Tribolium castaneum: one gene and its partner. The protein of the gene in region 1 purifies or fractionates together with the protein of each later gene. This does not show direct contact. Links are inferred from orthologs where the notes say so. Each region holds a gene or a part of one and is shown in the gene's direction. Other genes may lie near its edges.

Region 1 (3,393 bases):
AGCACCTACTTTCCTCTCTTTTTAAAAATGCACGCTCAACTCGCAAATTTAAATTCAGAACGGCAACAAATAAAGATTATGCACATGACTCGGGTTTTAATGAAAATAATCGAACTTATTTTATTTATTTTATATGTAAATGCGGTTTTATGGCTTTTTTATGCCAGGTAATTGCAATATTTGAGCGGTAAAGGCCTCGCTATTTCGGACGGAAACGGTTTTATTGATTAGCAGGGAAATGACCACTGAAATTTTGATGAATGTCTCCCAATTTAGTGAACATTCCGTTCGCATGAGCCAGCGGTTTAATGGACAACAGGAATGCCACATAAAAAATAAATACCCGAAATTGAATGCTGGCGGTTTTGTGACATAATCTGCGAGCGGAGGCTGTTGGCACCGAGCCACGATCGCCAAATTCATGACGAGGGCTCACATTTCCTATCAGCCCTTCATACACACAAAAGCTAAATAACTTATTATATATTAGTATAACTTCGTACATATACAGGCTGTCCCAATATTAGAAAACACCAAAGTTATGTTTTTTCAAATGGAACATTTTTGGGTTTAAAAAAACTTTAAAGAACAGTAGAATCGAAGGGAACACAAGTATTATACCAAGTATATAGAATATAGTATGTCATACGTCATACTTAGTCATAACAGGTGCCAAAATCTCAAGAAATCGATTTGTATCGAAAAGTCAGTGGTGGTTTTTGTTAATTGTGTCGTGAGGAGTTGTTGGAATTTGGGGTCGGGAGGGGTTTGGTGGGCGTTCGTGCGTACAGGGTGTCCTAAAATAATGGCATATCGGTACTGGCGATAAAAATGTCGTCGTTTGTATAATATAGTAATGAAAGAAGAGGAAGCAGAGGAGGAATGTGTGGTGGTTCCTTTTCGGGGTTGCGTGGTCGTTTCGGTGCGAGGGCATGTCGTGTGACAGCTGTGAGATATGGTATGGCGGTGTGTATCTGTCGAGTATGAGTAGTGATTGGCAATATTGTTGAATCGGAGTGATCGGAGTAATGGTAGGCCGCTGCGGCCGTAGGTAGGCTTGCTAGCGTTGGACGATCCTTCCTAGAAGGACAGTCTAGGCGGTGAAGTGCGGCGGAGATTGCCGTATCCATATGTATGCAACTTGGGTGGTCCGTGTGACGTCAGGCCGCTGCTTGGGTGGTCCATTGCATGGTATACTCTGTTGCAGGGCAAAGCGAGCGGAGACCGCGGCATTCTGTGGGTTCGTGGCCGAATTCAGCGCCAGCTGCGCTCCCTGGGCCGCATCCTCGATACGCACGCCGGCAAGTTCCTCTTCGTGAGCGTGCTGGCGATCGCCACCTTCTCCGTGGGCCTGAAGAGCATGGCCTTCCACTCGGACATCGAGCTGCTGTGGGCCGAGCCCTCCACGGGCGCCGAGGCGACGCCGCAGGAGATGCTCTCCACGCACCAGATGATCGTGCAGACGGCCGTCGAGCCCGACATCGACCTCCTGCATCCGCACGGCCTCCTGGAGCACCTCGCGCTCCTCCAGAAGGCCACGCAGGTCACCATCACGATGTTCGACATCACCTGGCGCCTCAAGGACTTCTGCCAAGCACCCAGCATTCCCAATTTTGATGCGCACTTTATTGAACAGATTTTCGAAAATATGATGCCCTGCTCCATCATCACGGCGCTCGACTGCTTCTGGGAAGGCTCCAAATTGCTCGGACCTGATTATCCTGTCCATATACCGTAAGTTCGGAAAACCGACCGACTTGGAGGGTGGTCACGGGCTCAGCAGCTGCCCTTTTATAACCAACTCAAATGTCTTACCTACCGCGACCGTTCCCGGAACAACAGCCAAAATGCTCGCAAAAAGGCTGATCACCCGTTTTATTCAAAATATTTACTTTTTTTCATCGTCTTATTTAATTTCATTTTTAATCCGGAATCGGAATCGAGTAATTCATATTTTTTTGGCTTGGCGAAAGAACGTAACATTATTTACGCCTTTCTTTTCAACAACAATTAACTAATTTAACTACAGTTTACATTTTTCATTTGAAATAGGGGAGATCTCGAGAGTTCGCAATGTACTCATTTTATAGAAACATAGTGAAGAGTTTGGATTAAAAAAGTGTCATAATTTCAAATTTCAAGCAATTAATTTATTAATTGGATAATTATAGTTGGTTTTGTTACATGATGATTTGTTTTTACAATAAATAAACAAAATTTCTCAAAATCCAATACTTCTTGTAATTTCGTTATGCATTTATGTTACATTAATCCATCTGAATCATATGTTCACGTATTAAGGCCTAAAATATGCGACAAGTCATTCATTTTTGAATTCTCACTTAGATTCTTTTACCGAAAATCTTAAGGCAGTATAGATAAACATGAAGAAAAGTGTCATCAAAATATTGATACATAATTTTTGTTGTTAAATTTCGATTCAGAGCATTAAATTTACAAAAAAAAGTAACCCAAAGTGTGATTTGGGTTTTATCTGGAGTTTATTTGTTTCTAGATATGGAATAGGCAAGCATATAAAATGGACAAACCTCAACCCCAGTCAGTTAGTATCCGAGTTAAAGCAAAAAGAATCCCAGTTTGATTATCATTCTTTAGAGGATTATTTCAAGCGTGCTGGAATAACCTCTGGATATCAGGAAAAGCCGTGTTTGAACCCCCGCGACCCGGAATGTCCAGTGACGGCTCCAAATTACAATTCGAGTCAAAATTTAGATATTGGTGCTGAACTAACCAGTGGTTGTTACGGTTTCGCCGCGAAATACATGCACTGGCCGGAAGACTTGATCGTTGGCGGTGCCAATAAGAATAAATCTGGTCATATTAAACAAGCCAAAGCTTTACAAACTGTTGTACAATTAATGGGCGAACACGAACTGTTCGAATTCTGGTCTGGACATTACAAAGTGCACCACATCGGATGGAACCAGGAGAAGGCCACAACCGTACTGAACGCCTGGCAGAAGAAGTTCGCACAGGTTGGTGGTTGGCGCAAGGAGTAGAGTGAATGGTGGTAATTTTTGGTTGTTCCAGGAGGTGGATCGTCTGACGAAGAGCAAGAAGTCGTCGAATTACATCTTCGTGACGTTCTCCACCGCCAATTTGAACAAGATGTTGAAGGAGGCGTCGAAGACGGACGTGGTGAAGCTGGGGGTGGTGCTGGGGGTGGCGGCGGTGTACGGGTGGGTGGCCCAGTCGGGGCTGGCTGCCTTGGGAGTGCTGGTCTTGGCGAGCTCAGCCGCCGCCGCGCTGGGCGTTTGCAGTTTGATCGGACTGCCGATAAACCTACTGAGCACGCATGTGTTACCTTTTGTTACTGTTGGACTCGCAATGAGAGAAATGTTCCTTATTTTGTCGACGCATATGAGGAATCTG
Region 2 (4,094 bases), on another chromosome or scaffold:
TAATATCCAATTACTGAGTTATAAACTTCTTCGCAAACTCAAAAACTAGATACGATTTTTATGTGCCAGGACAAGGCTGTTAAATTTAAGGACCTAATTACACGATACCATTGTGGGAAAACTAACCAACAACGACCACATTTCATTCACAAATTAATACAAACGAGAGAAAATTGAGACGTGCTAAAGTACACACAAGAGAACTCTTAACGCAAGGTTTATATGGAATTATTAGACCACTGAAAGATTCCAACCACTAACATTTTTCTTTTATTCGATTGTAGACTGGAAACTATACAGACTGATGCATTTTTTAACTTGCATAAAGCTATGACTGAAAACTGAAATCATTTTCAAAATGACTATACTTCCGGAAGTACAAAAATTTACTAAACTTGTTAGTACTTAACTATCATAGTTTTTGACATATGTCAATTCTTTCTTGGACGGTTTATTTTTGACAAAATTCAGAAAAATAAATGCTTATCTAGCTTAAAAATCATTAAATTTTGGACAAAATTTTAGAAAACTTTTGTGTTTCAGGCTGACAAAGTGCTGAAACGCTTTGAAAAAAGAACAAATTTGTGTTTTTTGACTCAACTTTGTATTTTTTTATTTTGAATTTCGCGAAATGAGTGAATTTCTGCCTGAAAAAGGAACTGAAACCTCAAAAAAAGTTCAAAAATAATCTTAACTTATTAGCTTTTATGTAAAAATGCTTGAAAAGCGGCGCAAATTTGACAATAGTTTAGGTATTTTTTAATTACTTTTACTAAAAAATGTACAAAATACACAAATTTTGTGATTTCTTGAAAAATTTATGATGAAATTCGGCAAAAATTTTCATTTTTAGAGTCAAAAACGTTCAGAAAAGTCGTAACAAGAGTAAAAACAATGTCATTTTAAAATTGAGTTTTTTTATAAGATAAATATTTGGAGCCAAATGACTTGGCTATTTTATTAAAATTTATGTTTATTTGTGTATTTAGTGATTAAATCTATTTTCTATAGATTGTTAATTATCGAATTATTGTCAAATAAAAGAGAATATAGAAGTAGAAATGGGTTTGAAACCGATCTGAAATAAATGGTTTAGTGTTGTGTTAGTTGGAGGAGGTCCGATTGAATGTCAAAACATCAGGCAGGCAAGCAAGCAAGCAAGCAACAAACACACGGAACTCACCTTCGTCAACTGCCTAACAGTCGTTGGCTTTTAGGCGGTCGGCATTAGTCCAAACACTACAAACCCGCTGAAGATTTACGGAGGTCCGTTTGCCGACACGGCTGCTCCTTTATCAGGTGACAGTTCTTGTACTAATGAATGTTTTCGTGGCCTTAGTCACTTGTGATGTCCGACGACTATGTGGGTTTTGAGGACCACCGTTCGTTCGTTAGTTCCTTCGTTTCTTCTTCACACACTTTGGAAATTTATTTATTCTCACTAGAGCTCGATTCGTTCGAAATGTGAACGATCGGAATTCTTTCGAGTGAGATTAAATGCTTTCAATTATTGCGGCGGGACACACATTTGCATACACACGAATTCCACAAATTTCTTCATTCGGTCGTTTTTTATCACTGACTTTTTTCTTACCTTACCTACGCCAGCAAGCAGCCCTCACACACCCATTTGGCAATTTAGAGTACGTAAAAAATAATTTCCATTGAAAATGTTACGTATATGATGATGTTTTTAAGCAAAAAATTCTTACTTTTGGCTTAAACTATTGATTTGTTAGCTAGTTTTTACGAAATCTGATAAAATAAAAGAGTTTTTGGATCAAAAATGCTTACAAAAAAAGTAAGACAATATCAGTGTGAGTGACGGTAATTTTTCAGCTTCTACAAACATTAATTTACAAAATTTACAAAAAGTAGTTATTTTTCCAATAATTTTGGACGAAATTTTCCAAAATAATTGGAACGATCATTAAAAAATTAAAGTTACCTTAATTTTAACTTATAATTTAATGTTTTTTCTGGATTTGTTCATGTTTATTACTACAAAAAGGTAAGTAGTAATTGAAATTGTATTTAATGGTACTTATTACAATAATTAACCTTTAAAATATGCGAATAAAACTCAGTTTTTCCTGACATTTTACTACTTTGATTTGCTATTTATTTGCGTATTAATTTTCTAATAACTGTATAAATTAATTTACCTTCTTTAAGTCGGGGGTTAATATAAAAAAACTAATAACCAACTAGTGATGATTTTTTAAAATTCGTATTTGAGAAGAAATTGTGTGCTTTACCTAATGTCTTTGAGCATATTTTTTTCTTTTGCCAAGTTGTTTGTGGTCTTTTATATTCTGTTTGTATTCATTGTTTTTACTTCACTTCTTTGCACTTTGTACCTACTTCTTTTCTTCTTTATGATTTCCGTATGAAACTTAAGAATAAATAATTCACCTCCATTCTATAGTTTATTTAGAAAAAACCGAAAAGCAGTCAATAATTATTATTTAAACAAAAATGAGTGGTTTTCCCCGCACTAAAGTGATTGAAAAGACACACAAAAGGTGACCAAATCATGATGACGATTTGCGGTTTCAGTTTTTCCTTTATCTCAAATAAATAACAGTCAATTTCCGCCTTAACCAGAAGTCATTCATAAATCGATTTCCCTTCCCTACCTAATGGAGGGTAGCTATCCGGTGTCACCCCTTATAGCATCAGGTGGTTTATCGTGGGAATTTTGGCGCCTAAACCTTTTCTTATCGCTGCTAATTGCCCACAAGAACCAAGTATTATTTACTCAAAGCCAACAAAGTTATGCAAGCCATACTCAGAATTGTCACTCGGATGATAAATCTGGAATTTCTATTTATTATTAACACCTGCAATTACCCGAAATGATAGATTGCGCAAATTTACGAGCAAATGAAATTTTATTGTTGTGGCGATAAAAACAAATGTATTAATTAAGGCAACAACGCTGCTGGGGAGCTGAAATGAAAAAACTTTGCTCCTTCAGTGTAATGAAAACAAAGAGAAAGTTTGGTGTTTTCGGAAAAACTCTTTCATTGTTCGGTACCTTAACATCTCGGAAGTGCTAATGAAGCGCAGTCGGAAAAAGAAATGGTGTTGTTCGTAAAAGTTAGCATCTCACTGAAAGCATCCAGTTGAAAAACACAGTGTTTGAGCTACGAATTAACCCAACAATGCGATTGTATTACATCAGTTTTTTTTTATTGTTGGCTTAATCATATTGGTGATAAAATCGCGATTACAGTAGTGTTTACAAACAGTGAAATATTTTCATTCATTTGAAAAAAAAGTCATGGAAAATTAGCACCAATTGTGAGCGGTTTATTTATCGTTGCTTTCTCTACGACTTGAATAGATTACAAAACTTGGGGCAGGTCATAAATATTGTCACGCTGAATTGTCACAACAAAATTTTCACGAACCTGATTAGCTACCGTCTATTAAAACCCGGGAGAAAAGATTCTGAAAAAGGTGAGCAAACAACACACCGTGCTAAATTCTTATCTGGCTTATTGTTGTTGACACAAGGTTGAGATTTTTACGCCGTTTGATTGCTGATCCAATTCTTTTGATAAGGTTTTTTTTTCGAAATGTTTCTCATTTGGTTATCGATAACTCTGGAACTTGTAGGTCATAGCCCTTAACATCTCATAAAAAATTAAGTTGTAATTTTTCTTAGAATTTTTTTAAACCAAAGTTTAGTTGTTTTCGAAATAATTCCACTTATTTAGATTTTTTTTTAATTCATACCTTTTTTTAAATCGGTAACATTCCTGTTTTTTGGGGAAATTACAAGAAAAAAAATGGAGTTTTCAAATTTTAGGTAAACTTAAACCCCAAATTTTCTAATTGCGTTTGGAATTCTTGAAGTATACATAACTCAATTTTTCTTTTAATTATTTGTTTCAAGAAAGATCATTATTCTTCGGTTAACAGTTTACAAAATTAGTAATATAAAAAAGCTTCATAACTAAAAAACTGTTGGGAATTTGACGATTTTTCGATGCCAATCGATTCCTCGGATCATATTACATAAGACAGAATCAAAATAGTTCCACTTTTTCGAATAATTTTGCCGTAATTGAGGAAAAAAAACAAAA

The links.
Region 2: the proteins of ptc (region 1) and hh purify together in Drosophila melanogaster (affinity purification with western blotting; 3 studies listed by BioGRID). This does not show direct contact. The link is inferred for Tribolium castaneum from reciprocal best matches to the Drosophila melanogaster genes ptc and hh.

What each region holds. Positions count from the first base shown.
Region 1 is NC_087403.1:6,989,713-6,993,105, forward strand, and holds part of ptc (patched), read left to right. Parts: intron 1-817; exon of another isoform or gene 818-1,130; coding exon of another isoform or gene 1,131-1,148; intron 1,149-1,207; coding exon 1,208-1,734; intron 1,735-2,515; coding exon 2,516-2,996; intron 2,997-3,051; coding exon 3,052-3,393. UniProt on the Drosophila melanogaster protein: Segmentation polarity protein. Acts as a receptor for the hedgehog protein (hh). Associates with the smoothened protein (SMO) to transduce the hedgehog signal leading to the activation of wingless, decapentaplegic and patched itself.
Region 2 is NC_087397.1:309,541-313,634, reverse strand, and holds the start of hh (hedgehog), read left to right. Parts: upstream 1-1,280; 5' UTR 1,281-1,299; intron 1,300-4,094.